Coturnix japonica: one gene and its partner. The protein of the gene in region 2 interacts with the protein of the main gene of each other region in a pairwise test. Links are inferred from orthologs where the notes say so. Each region holds a gene or a part of one and is shown on either strand. Other genes may lie near its edges.

The links.
Region 1: the proteins of SH3BP5 (region 2) and TNKS interact in a two-hybrid assay, tested with the Homo sapiens proteins (2 studies listed by BioGRID and IntAct). The link is inferred for Coturnix japonica from reciprocal best matches to the Homo sapiens genes SH3BP5 and TNKS.

The regions. Positions count from the first base shown.
Region 1 is NC_029519.1:44,037,749-44,048,227, reverse strand, and holds part of TNKS (poly [ADP-ribose] polymerase tankyrase-1), read left to right. Parts: intron 1-431; coding exon 432-514; intron 515-1,125; coding exon of another isoform or gene 1,126-1,257; exon of another isoform or gene 1,258-1,272; intron 1,273-2,632; coding exon 2,633-2,753; intron 2,754-3,360; coding exon 3,361-3,458; intron 3,459-4,803; coding exon 4,804-4,878; intron 4,879-5,565; coding exon 5,566-5,671; intron 5,672-6,520; coding exon 6,521-6,707; intron 6,708-7,414; coding exon 7,415-7,571; intron 7,572-8,383; coding exon 8,384-8,470; 3' UTR 8,471-10,479.
Region 2 is NC_029517.1:38,179,992-38,190,470, reverse strand, and holds part of SH3BP5 (SH3 domain-binding protein 5), read right to left. Parts: intron 4,731-10,479; coding exon 4,600-4,730; intron 2,776-4,599; coding exon 2,733-2,775; intron 2,235-2,732; coding exon 2,015-2,234; intron 1,584-2,014; coding exon 1,323-1,583; intron 1,127-1,322; coding exon 945-1,126; 3' UTR 1-944. UniProt on the Homo sapiens protein: Functions as a guanine nucleotide exchange factor (GEF) with specificity for RAB11A and RAB25. Inhibits the auto- and transphosphorylation activity of BTK. Plays a negative regulatory role in BTK-related cytoplasmic signaling in B-cells.

The DNA of each region.
Region 1 (10,479 bases), on a different chromosome or scaffold from region 2:
ATTAGGTGTCCAGATGTTTGTTGATTTTATCCAGAAGATCCAATGAGAATTAATTTGATAGAGTTATGATTGCAACGGCTGGAGGATTTCAATAAGACTTTGGATCTTTCGATTCATATCTAGAGTATGTGCTGTGTATCAGCATCTGGACGATTACCTACCAAAAATACACCCAGCCTTCATTTCCTTCTCCTTGCAATATTAGCCTCTGCCACAGGCTGATTGTGCTTTTCATTATTTGATACTGGGGAGGGGAACAGTGATGATATTCACACTGAGGTTTCATGCAATGGAAGTGGATTGTTTTTTATAAGGCAGATTAGTGGTACAAAGAAGAGTGACTGGGATCTTAAGAGAAGTGGTATTTGTTGGTGTATTTACTTATTTGAATCGAGTGCCTATGATTAAATTATTTTTTTCTCTTATTACAGTTTCTGGTCTTGATATGAACATTACCCAGTTCCTGAAAAGTCTCGGTCTTGAACACCTTCGGGACATCTTTGAGACAGAACAGGTAAGTGTCAAGTGTTTTCTGTGTACTTTGAAGGTAGACTTCAATTCCCGGATTTTAAAAGAGAGCAAAAAGATGATTTCACATCTACAGAAAAAAAATTAAACATATCCAAGAAAAGTGCAGTTATGAATGATTTGGCAAATGCTGTTCAGTGAAGTAGAAACAAAAATATCTGCCTGTTTGAGTTAGATATTGGTGGTTTTCACTTTCTTAAGAAACAGTGCTTGCTAATTTGGCTTGTATTCTGAGAACTGCACGTGAACTTTGAATTAACTTTTGAACATAAGTGACTATTGTAAAATTTAGGAAATGCAGGAACATCACCTGCACTTCTCCTGTAGCAGTCTTGATGTTTGAATAAACTTTTCACCATCTGTGCTGCTATGTGTAACACTTAAGTTAGACGTAGGAATTCCTACAGTTTGACCACTAAGCTGAACTAGAAATGTAGTTGAGTAGTTAAAAAGATTGTGTGAATAAGATGGACACTGGTGGATGTAAAAAGTACAGGGAGGCTGGATTTGATGATAGTTTTTTTCTCATACTTTTGCTGCTAGTCTTTTGTGATGGATCAGGAAGTAAATATTTTAAATGTAATTTGTTACTTACAGAAAAGCCTCCAAATTCTTCCACGAAACGTTACAGAGGTATCTCCCTCCCCAAAGTTACCACGCTATATAATATTTTTTTCCCTTCTTACACATAAGCATAGGCTCATTTCTTTAACTTGGAACTGCTTCTAGTAAGAAGCAAACCAACCCCAAATGAATTTGTATTCTACTCAGTTTTTGTTCTTATTTTATTATTTTTCCTCACCTTCCTCTTGCTGTGCTGCTTTTGTCCAGTTTTTACTTCCTCAACTTCTAACCTGTATTTAAGATCTTTCCCTGCTACTAAGATTAAACAATTTAAATCAGATTTATCATTTCCAAAACTGCTAAACTGCTCTTGTAGGTTTGTCTTTCTAGTAAAAATAAGTTCATCATCCCACTGCTTTCATGTTCTTTTTTTTCTACTTGGCTCTAATCTCATATTGATATTGGGTCTGTGCTGGTGCTGTCTGTTGTCTGTGTTTCCTGTTATCCTGTGAATCCCTTCAGTGGCTTTTCCACAGCAATCTCATTAGGGCTGTTTCTGCTCAATTGCACAGTTGTTCAGGGTATCTGTAATTCCTTGCTTGAATTGCTTTCCTTTGGATTTGTGGTACTCAATTTGTAGTTGACAGTGTTGATATCTGTAAGTCCAGTTGTGCTAACAGTCTACCTGGCTTTTAAGCAAGTTGTGTGGGTTCCTATTATTTGTTGAGCTTCCAGTTCCAATTTAATGTAAAATTGGAAGTAGGCTTTATGCAGTTACTTCCATCACATTAAATCTTTGTACTTCACATAAACACCTCAGCACAGAATTGCTTCGCAGCAATGAAAAATACGTATTTCATTTAGCACCTATATTTTCCTCTTGCTTTGACTTTGAAAATAGTTTGTCCTTTTATTATCTTTCTATTTCTACCAATAATCTGTGTGACCTTGATGTCTAAAATCATGTCAGGTGATGGTGGATGCATTTGTATATTAGAATAACGTAACTAGTTATGCCTGTCCTTACAATGCTAATTATTTCCCAAAGTTTGAGCGTGGGAAATAGTTGGGATAGTTGAGCTTGACTTAACCTGGCCATCCCATTGGCTCCGTCTCTGTGCAAGCACACATGTGGATATGCATACACTATTATATACCAGTGTGAAACACCTTTTTGGTTGCACAATGAAAATTCTGAATAACACTAGAAGGTGAGACCCTGAATGCTTCAAAAATATTCCCATGCTTTGACTTGTCCCAGCTTCTCCGTGCATCCTCCTCCTACAGAAATAAACATGATTGTAACAAGAATGAGCTCTTGTTAATTGCTGTGAGAGAAGTTCTAAGCAGCCCAAGCTGTAGCAGCTGGGCATGGTCCTGTGTGAGGGAGGAGCATGCCAGCAGGTGGCAGTAGTTAAGAATATGGTAAAACAAAATATGTGTTCTCTTGGTTGTAGCACGAATACAATCCATTTTCTGAACTGATGTATCTTTGACTGGTGATTTGTCTGGTGATTGTTGCGGTTTTTCACCTTTCCAGATAACCCTAGATGTGTTGGCAGACATGGGACATGAGGAGCTTAAAGAAATAGGGATTAATGCCTATGGCCACCGGCACAAATTGATAAAAGGTGTGGAGAGACTTCTAGGAGGCCAGCAAGGTAAATATGATGTTTTTACTTGTTAGTCTGAGTAACACAGAACACGATGTAAACGTAGGCATTGATACCAGCAATTGAAAGAGTGTGATTGTTTGGAAAACATGCTCACTGATGGTTTGGTGGCTTGTGACAGGTAAGGAATATATTGTGTTGATACAGGACTGAGTGACTGCTCATCTTTCCAGAGAATGGATAACCCCAGGAACCTGTGGAAGCTGTGCCCATTTACAGGGGTTCTGTTTGACCAGGGAGGGGGGAGCTTTTGGGTTGATTTGCCCTACATATAGGCTAGCTGTATCCTGAAGCGTGAAGGCCTGATGGAGCTCTTTGCTGTCCCATGCCACTTGGGTCCTTCTCTTAAAGCACAAACCATAAAATGTAGTTGTGACACTAGTGTTTTTCTCCTCTCTCTGAAGACCCTGCTGCCAAAGAAAGTACTTCATCGTTTCAAGGTTATTTTTAAACCTTGTGTTTATGTTGTGTTTCCTGCTGGTGTTATATAAGCAGAAAAATTGCAGTGTTTAATAAAAACAAGGCTGGCTTTATTTTCTCCAGTTGATTTTTATTTTTTTTTTTTTTAAACTTCTTTATTCCCTTCCCTTTGTAGGTACCAATCCTTATTTAACTTTCCACTGCGTGAGTCAGGGGACTATTCTGCTTGACCTTGCACCTGACGATAAGGAGTATCAGTCCGTTGAAGAAGAGGTATTGCAATTAGCTTGTTTGGTGGTGGTGCATTTCCCTCATCACCTAATCCTTAGAGCTAAATCTTGCAACACATGCTAAAGTGATAAAACATGCATTGGTGAATTGGAAAGATCTGATGTGGAGTTTAGGGCATTAATTAGTTTCAGTTTATACTGAAGATGATATATATATAATATATATTATATTTTATTTTATTTGCTGTTTCCTGCCAGTTTTTTTTCTTTAAACACATGATTTTGTTTCTCACTCCATGCTGACCTAATTTTGTCTTGCTGGCGTTGGGTTCTGGAGGTCATCTCATAGCTAGGGCTTACAGAGCTTATCAGAGAAAGGCACACCTGAGAAAGGCAAAGGCTGTGTGTGGAGACTAGGAGATCAAGGCTTTACAAGTCTGTAGGCATTCTCTTTGCTCAGGCTGTTTCTGCATGTGAACCAGCTTGTTTTCTCTTGTCTCAGTGGCTTAGTTAATCTGTAACCTAGATAAAGCAACTCTTGGATAAGCAGAGATGACTGTAATTTTACCTCCCACGCACACATGCTCTTTTATTTGAGTCAACTACAAGCAGTTACCATTTTGAAAGGAAAAGCTTAAGAGGACAGAAACTTTCTGAAGAGTTACATTTGAAATAAAGACTTCATTGTTTGTTCAGTTGCTTGTGTAGGGATGTTGCTTTGTAGCACAGAGAACCCTGGTACTCAGTATTGCTGCCAGTATCCTGGAATATTTTTTATTAGTAACTCTACAAACTGGAGTTTGTGCAGATTTTTTGTGCAGCCATGTCTGAAAGAAAGAGTCACTTGTTTACTAAATTGGGATGCTTATTTTAGTTTTTACTAAATGTTGGTGCTGTGGTTATAAAGAAAATGGGTTAAATTGTTGAAATTCTTAGAAGCTTTTAATGCCATAAGAAAACTTAGTGTAAGCATTTTCATGTCACTAAGAAATACAGGCTGTAGTCATTAGAAATGTGTTTGTTATTACTTCAAAATGATCTTTTTGTGAGTTACTTTTTAATTTTTTTCTAATCTAAAGCGGGTCTTCCAATAGTCTAATTTTGATAGCGGGTGCCAATCCTCTTCCCTTTGTAGGTTTTTATTATAAGATTGAGGAATTGCAACATTCAGCTTCTCAGACAGCATTGTAGAGCTCAATAGCGTGTTGGGTGCCAGAATAAAAGTATGCATCTCCATTTAAAATTTAGTTTTTTTGGCACCTTTTAGTTAATTTTCATCCCAGATTCTACTGCTGTCTGTGATGTATTAAGACAGATACTGCATGATTACTTTTCCTTGCTAACAAGTTTTATGTGCTGAGCATTCAGTTGTGTTCATTTATGTGTAGATGCAAAGTACAATCCGGGAGCATAGAGATGGTGGAAATGCTGGTGGGATCTTCAACAGGTACAATGTCATCAGGGTAAGTTTCAAAGCCTTGTAGTTCTTTGTAGTAAAATAAGTTGGTACTTATGCAAGCACACAAAATTGATTTTAATAGATCAACCTTTTAAACTTAGAGTTCTTTGTTGGTATGATAATCAATTACAGAGTTAAAGCAAGCACAGAGTACTAAAATTAAACTGATTGTGTGCTTGGTATATGGAGTGAGGAAGAAGTGTCCACTTGTGCTGTTAAAGGAGTCTAAAGAAGACATGGAGTGGTTTGGGTTGGGAAGGACTTTAAAGCCCATCCAGTTCCAACTCCTTGCCATGGGCAGAACTGCCACCAACCACATAGTGAACATTAAACCTAAACCTTCAGAAAGCTAGGCCTGTTCAAGAGCGGCCAAAGCAGGGGAGGGAAGGAGTTTCAGACAGTCTTGATGGTTCTTGATGGTATTACCTACTCTGAGGGCTGAAGCCTGAAAGACTGCCTTAAACCTGAGAACTTAAGCTATAGTTCACAATATATGTGAACATCTTGAAGCATATGCTGTAGACTTGGTGCAACGATATATTCAGAAGGGGCATGTTAATTTTGTTTGAAGTTGTTTTTTTTACCATTCGTTTGTCTTGCTGTGCTTCTCTGTAGAATTTCTACAAACCTTTTTGAAACCATATTTCACTTATTTTGAGTTGCATATTTAATGCTTGTTGTTCCATTGCAGATTCAGAAGGTTGTGAATAAGAAGTTGCGGGAGAGATTCTGTCACAGGCAGAAGGAAGTCTCTGAAGAGAATCATAACCATCACAATGAGCGCATGTTATTTCATGGTAACAAAGTGATAACTATTTGTATGTACTGGTATTAAAAAAAATAAATAAGGAAACCAGAAGCAAATAGGAACCCACAGGCAGTGTTAGTGAGGCTGTTTTCACCATCCTGTACAGTAATTGTTTTTCTGTGCTAAAAATGCATGGGTGTGGGGGTGGTGAAGGTATTCTATGCAATCTGTAAAGCTCCACTAGATACAAAATATGTTTACAAAATGCTGTATCTCAGTCATTGCCATTAAAACTGATGCTAACTTTTGGGAGAGCTATACACTGCTGTGAGAAATACAAGTTATCCTCTGAAAGAGGTGAGCAGCACATAGTGAAAAGCATTTTTCCATGGCACTTCCTGCAATCATGAGGGAAAGGAATCAAAGCTCACCATGAGTTTAAGCAAGATGTTCTCCAGAAGCATCCAGAAGTGCCTGCAAAGGACAACTATCTAATTCAAATTAATCCTTCCCTAGCACCTTCTCTAATCCTGTGAAGGAAATGGCTTTAGGGTTTGATTGCCCTGATAAATTTGCCCTTTGTTGGAGAGTACTGACTACTGAAGAAAGTGTGCACTGACAAAATAAATTGTGCTGAAATGTGAGGAGGGGGTGGGAAGGCCACTTAATGAGATCTGTAACTGAGTAAGATCTGAGTCACACGTGGGATCTTGGTATAGAATGATAAATCCCACACATCACTGCATCCTGCTGGGTATCGCCCCCTTCCAGCTGACTGAGCACACTCTGTGGTATTCAATGATCTATCTGAGGCAGAAAAACCTCCTCTTGACATAAAGCCCAGAATTAATACAGGTCTTAACAACTGCATGATAACACAACCTTTTGTCTTTTCTAGGCTCCCCGTTTGTGAACGCAATCATTCACAAAGGCTTTGATGAAAGACACGCTTATATAGGAGGAATGTTTGGAGCTGGAATTTACTTTGCTGAAAACTCTTCCAAAAGCAATCAGTATGTGTATGGGATTGGAGGTGGCACTGGATGTCCAATTCACAAAGATAGATCTTGTTATGTTTGCCATAGGTATGTCTCCACCAGAGATCCCTGTAGGTAACTCCAGCTGTCCTGGTTTTTATGACCCTGGCACAGGATGAATTGTGGGGAAAGAATAGCCACTTAAGTTTGGTCACGGTGGGGAAAATGCACTTTTCCATTTGTCGGGGCTGAACAGAAGCGGACATAAATGTGAGTCCCACAGAAAGGTCAAAGTGAGTATAAATCAAAGTGAGTGGTGACTCAGGAAAGAGACTTAAAATGGCAAGTTTGAAAATGGAGAGTCAGGCAGAAAAGCAATTAAACTCCAGGTAATCTTAGAATGAAACTGCGCTGCAAAGTGGTGATCAGCAGTACAGTTTGATTCTACAGACCACATAATTTTGGAGGTAGTGAGCAAGACTTAATCACAGCTTTGTTTTGTACTGAAGTAGATCGGTGTGCTTTTCATGCTTTGACACTCACTCTGCTGGTTGGAACACACAGAGTGTTCATACGGCTTCATACATCAGCTTTATAGGAAATGAACAAGAGCCAGCCTCCATGCAACAGCTAAACAAAGCATGTGTTTTCCTTTCTGAATGTCAAGCAAGAATTTTTAGACACAGCCTTAGACTTGGTTTCTATAACTGTTTCTCCAAAAACCTATGAGAAATTAATTGTAAGAAACAGAAGTCTGAAATCATCCCGGAAGCTTATGTCTCTCAGATATGTTAACACGGTGTTTCTCTTTTCAGACAAATGCTTTTCTGTAGAGTGACCCTTGGAAAATCCTTTCTTCAGTTTAGTACCATGAAGATGGCGCATGCCCCTCCAGGACACCATTCAGTTATTGGCAGGCCAAGTGTGAATGGACTTGCATATGCTGAATATGTTATCTATAGAGGAGAACAGGTAGGTGGCTAGTGATGACCAGCAGAGCTTGAAGTTTCAGAAGGGCTATAAATTATTTCCACTCCAGGTGTGCTGTCTTAGCTTTTTTTCACTTAAATGTAAGCTGTAAACTGTATTGAGGCAAGAATTGCTACTCCTTTCCACTGAGTTTCTCTGATCTACGATGTGGAAAATGGCCTCATTCTTCTTCTGCAGCACTGAGAAGAGCCTTTTAAGAGATGTAGTTTGAGTATGTGCTGTTTCTCCCACTGCGTTTAACTGACATTACTGCAGTAACAAGAACGCATACGTTTCTGGGGCTTTATAGATTGTGAGTATTCTCAGCTTTTTACCTGTGGATTCCCAGCTGTGGCAATGTCCCTGTCTCCCCTTATGGCAGCAGAAGTAGCACAGCAGTCTTCAAGAGATGATTTTTATTCTGAGTAACTCAGTGGAGGTTCTTAGCCTAGAAGAGAGGTTTGCTCACTGCCCTGGATGATTCAGAGATTACAAAATAAATTCAAGTTGGAAAGAATATTGGGCAGTCATCTAAAACAACCCCTCGTTCACCCTTGCTTGCACACCAGATTGCTGAGGGCTCTGACCAGGTAGGACTTGAAAGAGATTGATGTTTCAGAATCTCTCTCGGTAGCTTGTTCTTCTGCTTAATTATCCTCAGAGCAGAAAATATGTGCTTTGTATCCTAACACTTGCACTCTTTGAACACAGAGCTGATTCTTGCTCTGTCCTTCCTGGTCGTTGTTTGAAATCCAAAATGTGAAGTTATTGAGTGTACCCCTCCTGTTAAATGGTTTCTTTTTCTTGACTTTTAGGCATATCCAGAATATCTTATTACGTACCAGATTGTGAAACCAGAAGCTCCCTCGCAGACAGGAACAGCAGCAGAGCAAAAGACCTAGTAGCTACAGAGCAGCGAAGAAGGATGTGACTTCAATCTTGGACTGGGTGGAAATGTGTTCAGGATATCAGTATCATATAAAATTCTTAATCTGGAAATACGCTGTATGTCTTTTATAGAGCATTGCTGTCTTGATGAATACGATATGAGTAACTCTTGCATACTCAACTGCTATCGTTCCTTTTGAGGAAGGTTTACAAGAGACTGCCTTTTAATAATGCATCTCAGGCTCCTAGTCTCTACCATTACCATGTGCAAAATAATGTTGTTTTGATCTAGACTTTGGGAACATTGTGCAAACAAATCTTTATCAAGGCCATCTCACTTGTTAAAATTTCAGACACTACTGTTCTGCTTACTTTATTTGCAGATAAACTGCATTAAGTCCATAATTTTCCTTCCAGCATGCAGCATTCAATTTATCTTTTCAGAAAGTCTCAGACAACTATTTATTTTCCTTTTGTATTCTGGAGTTTAGCCAGAACCTACTTAAAGGTATTTTGCACAAAGTCAAGTTGACTAAAACCATTAACAATGCAATATGAGATTCATCTGAGAAGGGGCTACGTCCAGTTCTTCAAGATAGGGGGTTTCTTCGCACACCTCTGAGCAAACGATACTAATCTGTGAGTGTTACTTTAGAGTGGAAACAAATCCCATTTCGGTTTGCTGCGTTGTCTGTGTGAGTTTTCTGGGGAAACCCAGCAGAAGTGTCAAACCGACTCTTGTGCTAAATACAGCAGGTCAGTGCCCTCTACTGATATCTCTAAAAGAACATTTTACAAGGCTGCTATCAAGCGCGTGCAGCTTGTGAAACGTTCTCCCCTTACAGTGGCATACGGTTTTGCTGGGAGACAGCTGACAAGTCAGAAGACCACACATGCAAGGATGTATCTGGGTTGCATCCCTCTGTATTATGAGACACAGAAGGTGGTTTTCAAACTGGTAAGGGAGAATGTGTTACAGCAGTTTGGTGTCACATCTGTTTGACATCATGGTTGTCCAACAGCTTTAAGTGGTTTACAAAAGTAATTTTTTAAAATATGGGTTTTACATCTTTATGAGGAAAACTTTAATAATAAGATCAGTTGGGAAGTGGATTTGCTGGCAGGTTTACCAGAGAACAGAGCTGGGATGTACCCACCCCAAGCCCCTTCCATGCAAGTTCCCGGATCTATTTTGCTGGGTAGGAGGAAGTTATATTTCAGCATTGCATAGCACAGCATCAGACTAATTCTGAAGTCTCCCTCATGAACAGTAGAGATTTAACAAGAGTAGGAATTAATTTCTTTTTTTGGAGGGAGGGGGTTGTTTTTACAACTTCAGAGAAGGCTGAAAATCAAGCCCTTATTAGTTGTTCTGGTTTCGTTTTTAAACCATCACTGTGAGATGTTTTCCAGCACCGAGCATATAATGGCTGGAGGTAAAACGTTCCTTTGAACAGGCTGTCCATTCCCCTATCGACCAGCGCTGCTGAATAACTGATGATCCAGTTCATGCATTCCAGCTTTAACACCCTTTAAGCGAGGGAACGGCAGAATAGCATGCTTTTAGTTTATTAAAACGTGCTCCCTGCCAATGGGGTTTGCTCGGGGTGTTTGGACTAAACGGAGTCTTCACTTTCAGCTTTAAGACACAGAAATCTCATTTTTAGCATTAAGGCTTTAGTGTTGAAGCAGGTCATCCTCCTGGAGGAACTGCACCCACTGTAAAATCAGTCATCTGATGCGGTCTGGCTGCCTGCACATCCACTCTTTGTAATATCTATAAAGAAAACCTTAGAAATAGCAATACTGCAGCAGATCTTGAGCTTTGGGTTTTATTTCTCTCGAGCTGGCACTGGATCTATGGTTTTCACTTCATTTTGTGACCTGATGAAATAATCAGCTTCGCAGTCCAAGCCAGGCTCTGGCCTAGTTGTCCTTTTAATCAGACGTCATTGACACAGTCGGATGCTTGTATTTTTGGCTACTTGTTTAGTAGTGTTAGGATTGCAGAGATCACCACTAG
Region 2 (10,479 bases):
CTAGTTTTATCAAACAATTCTCTAGGGCATCCTAAACCTCAGTCCCTCTTACAGTTATAAAATCCCACACAGTACAACCTACGGAGAAATTGAAGAACACATTGTCAATCTACACTGGCAGTTCCTTTTCTTCATGCATATTTTAAGGGCGATCCCCTTAATCGTAACTGTCCTGAATACATCTATCATTCCCATTTTGGAGCAATAACACTTTAAAGTGCTGAAAATAATACTTCACTTCTCAGGGGAGGGGAAGGGCAAGGACCAATCAACTCTTCTTGGTCAGTGGAATCACCCTTAAGAGTGCCAGCCAGACTCAGGAAGGGAGCAAAAATGGGCCCATGGCTGCTGAGTGATACCGTCCTGCTCCTGTCTCTCTTGGGCCAGTTCTTAGAGGTGTGACTCATCTTCATCCTTTCTGTGAGCACCAAAGGAAGAGTGAAGGCTTTTAGACCCCCACGTGCAGCTTTCCTGTATACAAAATATTTCTACAGTTTCAGCATAATACAGACAAATACGGATGTTTAAAGAATACGCCACTTATACTCAAGAGATCCAGTGTATCTAAAGAGCGTCTCGATCTACAAAACCAAAGCCAAACTGCTCTCTGCAAACGTCTGGCTTGAATTTCAGACTCCCCCCCACCATGAATTTGCACGGGAACGTTACTGGTTATTGCTTCAGCCAGGCTGCTACAAAACGAGTTACAAAGTCTGTGACATGGGAGCACAGCTTACCAGCTGATGACTCGTCTGGCCTACAAAGGATTTACTCAATAAAAACTTCAGCCCTCGACATCAATTAGACTTCTTAGTGCAGTTTTAAATTCTTAGAGTAAACGCTTAAGATTTGGCATATATTATTGGCACAATGTTCTTCAAACACTTAGAAGTTCATATATAAATATTTATATTCCCATTAATCAGGACGGGTACAAGGAGGACTCAGCCAATCTGGGCAGCCTTTCTGCCTGCGCATATTCCCTCTTTGATTTTCATGCATTGAATGGAGAGCTGCTTCATCCGGTTATCCAGAGCCAGCCCCTCAGCAGAGCCGCTCCTGTTGCTGCTCCTATTCTTGCTCACTCTGTCGCTTGCTTTGTTCTCAGCCCCTTCCGCCCTGTCCCCTGCAAAGAAAAGATGAGGCTCAATATTAAACCCAGATATCAGAAGGTAACTGTGGGCCCTTCATGGACTGCCCTCCCCAAGGAAGCAGCAGCAGCTCAGCAGCCTGTCATACACCTAGGGGAGTTGAGAGGATTTTCCCCACTCCCTTTGTAAAGCTAAACAGCATTGGCCCAGGGTGTATCGAGCTGTTCGTACCTCTTTCAGCTTCACATTCAGGAGATGAAGCCCCACTGCATTCACTTCGGGGGCCAAGGACGGGGAAGATCACTCCAAACTCAGAGAGGGACACGGGGCTGGGCAGATCCAGGGTGCCAGGACGTGTCGTGGGGGGAAACTGAGTGGGCACCTCGCTGGGGCTTGTAGGCCCAGAGCTGAAGCTGGACACTGACTGAGTTTCTGAGTCTTCCTCGGATACAAAGCTGCTGCCGTTGTCATCCTCAAACACTTCAGAGGCCACTGCAATGTTTGAAGATACATTCTCATTAACAAACCTACCCCCTCGTCACCTTTCTGGGTAACAGTTCCTCAGTTCTGCGCCTCCTGTCCACTGGCTCCTGGCTGATGGTGTTTTATCAAACTCCAAAAGACAGAAACTAAGACTGAAAAGGGTCTTGGTGCAAGCTCCCCACATTGCAACACGTTTATTTTTCCCCATACAGCACTATATAAAGAACAGGAGGGAACAACTGATGCATTTTAATTCACCCCCCCGCCCCTTCAGGATATAATAAACTCCTGCAATAACCAGAAACATAACAAGTTAACTGGTCCCACAACAGCCACTGAAATTCAATCTGCACAATATACAGATTATCTTCATCTCAGCATTTCCTCTCTATTCCGCAGCCCATGAGATATTCCCAGGCAAAGAAATGCTCTGCACTCACTTGAGACAGTGTCCAGCTCTGGTTTGCTGGTAGACAAGTCTTCCACAGAGGTGTTGCTCCCTTCAGCACCCACACCGCATCCCCGGGGCCCCATGGCAGTGGACCGTCTCCTCTCATGAATCTCATCTGAGATCATCTCCAGGTTTTTCAAGGCAGTCTTATACTCTCCCTTCGCCAGGGAGAGTTTTGCCTGCAGGTCATCCACTGTTTTCTTCAGTTGCTAACAAGAAAGACAGATGTTAGAGGTACTTTGACTACAAACAACACGGACACACAGCATGCGGTTCATTATGTTCCCCCCTAGCAGGTCCTGCTAAGCTGTCACCCCACCAAAGCCATGGCTGATGGCACAGAACAACACAGCCCACACCCTCCAGCACTATCCCCTGTACCGAGCTCAGGGGCAACCAGCTCCCCATTTCTTCCCTCTATTGTAGTGTATTGACACTTCAGACTACAAGAAGCACAGACAGACAAACTGTATCAGCTCGGTCCTCAAAATGAGGAGCAGGGTTCAAACAGGGGTGTGAACTTACTGCACACAAGGAAACACGGCCTCTTATCTTTAAAGTGTGCTTAGCAAATTGCTCATGATAAGAGGGTTGGAACAAAATTGGCTTTGTACAGTCCACAGTTACTCCGATAGCATGTCCCATGTAATTTCAGTATTTACCACAAGCAGTAAAGAGTCTCAGGGCAATGTGAACTCTGCACTTACCTCTAGCTGGACGTAGTACTTTGCCTTGAGTTCAAAATAAGGTCTGTGGAAAAAACAAACAACTGTTTACAGCCATCAGGACTAAATGCAGAGCGCTGGAGCGGACATTGCTCTCTCAATAGCATTAACAAAGCTACTTTGTGTCTCAGCGTAATCCTGAGAGACCTCTGTAGAGATGACAGAACACCTACAGGCGCTCTCCTCTACTCTTTTTTCTCCTCTAACCCATTTATTTCTCCTGGGTCTTTTGACCTAAATACAAATTGCAACATTCCAGTTGTTGGAGCTGATGATACAACTCCCTCAGGCCTAGATTCTGCAAGATATTGAAATGATGTTCAGCCTACCGCACAGGCATCCTCTCAGCAACCAAGAACAGTTTCCTTCTGCAGCTGCATTTTGTACAAGAACAAGCAGCCTTATGTACATCTCTAGCTTGCAAGCAAGGGCCCAGAAACAAAATTTAAAGCAAAACCAATGCAAAACAATCCTGTAATCATCCAGTCATCAGTCTCACAAGGCGAATCATCCGAACAACTTTCCTTTAGGTCATCCCAGTCTTACTTCAGAACAGTAATGCTTTAAGCATCTTAATCCAGCCTGAAGCATGCAGCAAACACAAATCACTGTTTGCAGGGAAAGCAGCAACACTTCCAGCACATCTGCCAACCCTGGGGGTTTGAGGGGAGGACTCTGGACAACGTGGTCCTGCAATGCCCCAGAGACCACGCTCAAAGACAGTAGATTTAGGATAGATATAAGGAAAAAGCCTGACACAGTGAGGTTGGTGAGACAATGGCATAGGTTGCCTTGTGATGTGGTTAATCCACATCCCAGGAGACTTTTGAGATGAGGCTGGATCAGGCCCTGGACACCCTGATCTAGCTGTGGTGCCCCTGCTCATGGCAGGGGAGTTGGACTAGATGGCCTTCAGAGGTCCATTTCAACCCTAAGGATTCTAAGATCATATGAATCTATCATTCAACAAGATGACTGTGTTTTTGCTCAGGCTCTGAGCAGTGCCAGACAAACAGCACAGCTCATTCTACAAAGCCATGCTGCCACACTGTTATAGCAAACATGCCTGCATCTTCCTTGAGAAGTGCTAAACTTTTCCCAAACTGAGCAAACGCCAATCAAAACAGGCTTTTAGTTGACCAATTTCCCGATCAAATCATTTTTAGATGGTGGGATTAAAAGCTAAACACAGCAAGCAGATTGTTTAGGCAAGCTACAGTCTGGAAATATAAGGAAAGGCTGTGGAATAGAAAGAAGATTAAGAACTGGTTGTCAACAGGGCCAACATTTTAAACAGGTTCTGAGAAAAAGCTGCTCTGTTTCTCTGCAACTGAGCAGAACTGCTCATCAAATGCACACACGTTTCTCAGTGAAGCTGCTCAGCTGTGCTCCCCGAAGCATTTCTTTCCCCATGAACAGCTCTTGCACAGCTTTGCTAAGGCAGCGTTAGGAAGTAAACAAGTCTGATGTACAGCACGCTGCCCTGATGCAGTCTCACACCTTCCACGTTTCTGTCATTTGCTTTGCAGTCTTCCCAACTAAACATAAGAATTTCACAGAGATGCTGCCTATGGAGCTGCAAAGCTTTGCTGTGGTGGTTTTGCAGCTTCAGGGTTTTGTTTTGTTGTGTTTTTTCTTCTGTTTAATCCCATATGCCTCGTTCTCAAGTCACTCATTACGGAAGATTTCAGTGCACTAAAACACAACTAAGAATACACCCAGGAAACTTCTCTAGTACAATTTGTGCTGCAAAGGACAACATCTTTTCACAGGTTTCCAAAATCCCACAGAATCCCCTGTCCCATGAACAGACTTGACCACTAAACTCATCTCCAAGTGTGAAACCTACTTTGATTTATTGATGGCTCTTTTCAGCTTCTTTTCCAGCTGCTTCATCCTCCCCATGGCAGCATTGTATTTGGCTGCGGTCTCCTTGTGAACCAACTCACTTCTTGTCTTGGTTTGTTCTGCCTCCATGACCTGTAAGAAGGAAAACAGAGGTTGAGGGGCAAGACCCAAGCATCCATTTCTTACCATTTTTATTAACATTATATCTACAATCTCTCAAATTAGGAAGGGGCTGAAGATGAACCAGAGGGATAAGAAGACAGCATGCAGTTCAGCCTGTCCCCTCTATCTGAAGCACCAGCTACCAGAAAGCAGCCCATCCAATGAGACAGCCTTTGTCATAGAATCCATGAAGGCTGGAAAGACCACTCAGATCATCTAGTCCAGCCATCAACCCATCACCACCATACCACACTATTCAGTGTTATATCTATCCTTTCCTTGAGCACCTATAGGGGCAGTGACTCCACCAGCTCCCCTATAGCCTGTTTTGCAGAAGACAAGGAAGCTGCCTTTCCTCTTGAAAGAGACAGCCAGCCTCAAATCGTGACTTCAACATCAAAAAAGCTTTGGGCCATGAACTGGTCCACTACAATGCAGGTGGGGAGCATTATGCTGAAGATCAGCCCCTAACCAGGGCAGGCAGATGCCTAAGGCACAGCAGTCCCATTGGCTGCCCTGCCAGCATCCTACAGTCATGTTTTCCCAGTAATTCTGTCTACGGTACTTTCATTTTGCAGATTTGAGCTGCCTGAGGCACCAGAAAATCTGTTTTCTCTAATGCACTGGCAGACAGGATTTAGCAAGAGACAGAACTGATTTGTTTAAAGGAATAGAAGTGGTGACACCTCTCCATTGGTCTGACAGTAAGCAGAAAGCAGGCGGTCTTCAGGCATCCCTTGTTTCAACCCTGAAAGTATTCACAGAAAAATGCCATGGGCCAAATCTGCACTACATCCCCATCAGCTGGAAGGTCGGCTGCCAAACTGGAGGCCACAGTTACTCCTCTGCACTCACCACTTGTTATTACACCAAAGTTGCTATCTGTGAACTAAAAGATCTGATTACACATATACTACGACAACCTTCAACTGCTTCACATGTGAATAAGGCATCCACATTTGAAGTTTAAAAAATAAGAAAGAAATCTGATTGATAGCAGACATTCCCCTGAATCCCAGAAACAAGTTATAGCCTCTCATCTTGAAGTCTCAGAAAGCAAGGTTGATGCAAAGACCTTCCCTGGTGAAATATGCCAGCCAAGGCTGGTTTTAGCATGGAACTGACATAAATTAGAATGCGGTCTCCAAGGACTGCACAAAACCTGGTTTGCTCCTTTGTAGTGTGGCAAGGCAACCGCAATTTACAAATGCTGCAAGCTACAGAATAATAGAGCAACTGAAACGTGCTGATTCTTAATTAAATGCCAATCCTTGCCATCCATTCTTGGGGTGAAATCAGCATGGGATCAACCACTTCAGCACTATCAGCACCATGGTCTTCTAACAGGTGAGGTGTTCTGCCTCTCGTGGACTTCACACATCTTTCACATCAAACACCATAAAAATGCTTCATCCTGCAAGACAGATTTGGGGATGACAGATTGTAAACACCTCAAACTATGTGACAAAATACGGAATTTGCAGCCAGATATCTACGCCCACATTTGTTACCCTTTTTGGAAGGGAAAAAAAAGCTGCATACTTCATCTCCCTGGGAAATCAGCATTGGGAGGCAAGCTTCTCCTCCTGCTGTGTGGCTCTTATACGGTCATGCTACCAGCCTGCTCACATTACCCAAGTGCTCTGCCCAAGGGAGTACAGCTCACAGTGTGTTCGCTAGGCTGAAGACATGGACGTGATCCTACAGCACCTGGAAGGCTGTTCCACATCAGTATCACCACAGAGAGCTGCCTCCTGTCAGGATGTATTTAAACCTTTCACCCAGTCAAGAAGAAACAAAAAGGTCATCTGCTTCTTCACGGAAGCAGAACAGCGCCTTAACATAGAATCTGTCTGCCAGGACATGTGGATAGAAACAGCCTAGGTTCTACTCTAGGCAAGTCAGTGAAAACCCTCAGCTTTTAAAAAGGTCTTAGTAGAGGACAGATGAAGTTTGTGTGGGGGAAAAGCATCAAACAAGTTTTTGGTCACACCATCTGAATACGCTTCTTTCTAATGTAAGACAGTGCTTCTACCGACAAACCTTGCCAAGGCCATCACAGATGCAAGATCATCTCCTTCAAAAAGCCAGAGACAAGAGTGAAGATGACACCTGCTCATAGGTATCAATCACTTCCTCTTTCCTCATCTACCCTCTGTTTCCAACCCAGATGCCATGGAAAGGAGGGTCAGTACAAAATATATATATCTAGCAAATAGGTCTGCGCAAGTGGCTTTGTCCCTCTCAGCCAAGAAATCTTCATCAGCTGAGGTCAAAGATGGACTTCAGGCAAATTTCAGCAATAGCAGCTGCAAAAGAAACATTTGCCAGTGAGATTTAACAAACCTGATCATCTGAGCCAGAGAATTACTCTGGACATCTGTTTCTTTCTCTAAAAAATTAAATGGGCGACTCTTCTAGAAGAAGAAATAAAAGAGGTAAGACAGATAACGCAACACCAGGAAACCAGAAGGGCAGAATCAATAACACAAGGGATAAAGATAGTAGAGGGAAGAATGTAAACACTGTTTGACTTCCATGGTGAAAAGATGGAGAGATAAGAACAGAGAAAGTTGTGGGTATCCCTGTTGCTTATTCCACAGCTTCCTTCCCCCCTTTTTCTCCAAGTGGTTCTACCTGCAGGAAGTCTCTTTTCTCTCCACATCATGAAAGCTCCCACGCATTTTACACCAACAGATGGTACTTCATGGTGTAATAGCAAAAGGAGCTTTGCAAGCCAAATTAAAGCAAGAGGGAGCAAGCCTTCTCCCTCCTTCCTTCCCCCCCACCCTTTCCTTTTTAAAACGTCTAGTGATCAAGAGCCAAAACATGTCTTCTCCCTGCCAGAATTTTTCAATGGAACATACCTCACAAAAGACTGCAGATTGCTCTGGCAATTAGAAATCAGCAAGATCTCACGCAGGATCTTCTTTTCTGCTCCAGTTAGTCTCAAACTTCAGGTAATATTCTGTCAGCTCTTTTCTTTTGGATGCATTTATATCCAAGAATGACCTTTACATAATTATAAATGCAAAGATCTCTGCCCCTCATCCCTCCTTTCACTGGCCACCTGTGCCACCAACTCCAGGTACCGACAGACAGGGAAGACTCCCACACCCAAAACCCAAATACCGACTGACAACCTGTACTCCCGGTACCTACTCATGCTGGTTGTCTGCTCTGCATATAGACACATCTCCCACATGTTATGCTTCTGACCCATCCAGGAGATGAAGATCTTCACCAACACTTGCATTTCTAAACAGTTACACAGATGATTTCTCTATTTCAGTGGCTACAAAAGGCTTGTTGACATTATCCTGTTATACCAGTAGCGCTTATTTTCAATGTGACAGTATCTTTTCAAACCATGGAGAAATCAAAAGGCAGTTACACTGTGCAGCCCTCAGCTCCATTTCTTTTCAACCAAGATCTGCAAACAGCATTTCCTAATAGGTACTTTGCAGTTCAAGTCTTCATTCGCATCCATTAGGTTAAGTGGAAAAGCAACCAGGATTTATTTCCATACAAGATTATACAAATAAAGATGTGTCTGATTTGTCCTCTTGCCTATCCCTTTTCCTTATGTTCTCTGCACTGTCTGTCAGCTACCAAGCTGCTTTAGGGCTCGGATTTGTTCCAAATTTTGAATTAATTCAATAGAGTCTGCTACTGCTGCCTAGGAAGGGCAAATAAAAACACTCCGCTCTTGCCTCTCGTTTCTACCAATATAGAAACAAATGAATTAGTAACTCACTTCTGACATTTGGCCCAGAGATGCTGTTTGGCACTTGATTCATTGCTGTACAAGGCACAGTGCAAGATTATGCTCTGTCCAATAGATGTAATTTACAGTTATAGGCAAAAAAAATAAAGGAAAAAAAAAAAGCTAATCCAAAAAAGAGCAGCCCAACGGCTGCAAAAAGCTTCTCCAAGAGTGACTTTCCACATGGAAACAGAGTGCTGGTTGACTGATGGTAGTTTGTGTACCTCAATGAACCCTAAGAACCTCACTAATTGCATGCACTGAAATGAAGAACATATTCACTCGGCTTTTAAAGAAGACTGAAACGCAGACAGTATTCCAAACAAACCACTGCCAGGCTTTTCCAGTCAAGACATTTTTGTTTATTGTTGTTGTTTTCTTTACCCTTGTTGGCTCTGGCTCTATCCTCAACATCGCTAAAAGGGTTAATGAAAATCAGGAGGAAAACTTCCATGTACTTCTTTCCAAACATGCAGTATCCTGGAAAGGCAAAGATATGTGCTTTCTGGGATCTGAGTTTACCCAGACTATTTTCAGTACCATAAAGAGTAGGGTAACACACTGCCTATCCAGTAAGTCCTCAGCTGCTCTACACAGATCAATCTGTGCCTAGGAGATTTTACATCAGAGCAAACACAAGGCTCCTATGTTCTGTTCAGCTGCAACCATCAGAGAAGTCACTGTTTCAGTCAGTCCTCAGACCGGACAAGGAGACCTCTTGCATTCAGTGACAGTACATGCAAACACCATCAGCTCCACCAAACACTGTGAGAAGTCCTCTTCTGCTCTAAGTCACCAAGTCTGGAAATCTCAGGCATGCTCGTCTTGGCTGCAGGATGTCTGAGAACAATTAAGGGCTGCAGAAGGACACAGGAATTCCTTAAGGATATCCAAGGAAAGGAGGAATCCATTTAAACCCTGAAAATTGCCAGCATTTCTTCTCTCCTGCCTGCTAGAGGGAGCCAGCTGATTGGCTGCTCTCAATCATCTCAGCAACTCCTTAGAGAAACTCTAAGCAACTCCTTAGGAGCTTCTATTTCTTCCTCATCTATCTACTCTGAGGATAAAAAAAAAAAATAGCGTATGCATTTCTGGACCTCACTCACATGAAACAGGGATAACAGCCAAGGAAAAAACAACAGCTGTTGGTGTCTTGGCAAACACACTGCAAAGCTGGGTTCAGAAACGCAGAGGTTACCAGATCTGCAAATACTTAATGACAGGGACAGTAACACCAACTACTCCCCAGCGGATTTCTGTGCGTTTTTTAATTATTCATGTTTTAGTTTATACCGGGTTTTCCATCTCTCCCCAACACAGCCAACATCCTTTTTGTTCTCTGTTTCGTCATCTGGCAGCTGGTTTCAGAATTCAGTCTGAAATAGAGGTTTTCTTATAACCAAGAAGCTTCTGCAACAGAACAAAGCTACTGCATTGAAGACTGCAAGACAACGCCAGCATTGTACGACACGCTCCCCACGCTTGGAATAGCAAGTTCAGCTTCACTGACATATCAGGGGAACTCTGACAGAACAAAGGATTTCAACTTAGATTTTGGGTTTTTTCATGTTAAAAAGAAAGAGAAGAAAACCACAACACCTTTCTGCATATTTAACAGGTAAGGAAAAAGAGAGAAGGCAAATGACAGGAAAATTCTTGACAGCTGCTAAAAATGAATACTGCCTTTCACTGTTGCTGCATCTTCTCTGTAGACTTAAAAAGACCTTACCAGGAAGGTAAGATCCTTTCTAAATTTGAAAGTAAATTTATAACAGAAGTGTGCAAGCTTAAAATGCAACACACGCTTAGTAATTCCACATGCAGATACACTCCAGACAAAAATGCCTTGCTGAAACTAACGTCGTGCTGAAAATAGGTGACACTACATTGGAACACATCCCTGGTACTCCATGGTCAGTTTCAGCAACACATACACTTAGGAATAGCCATCCC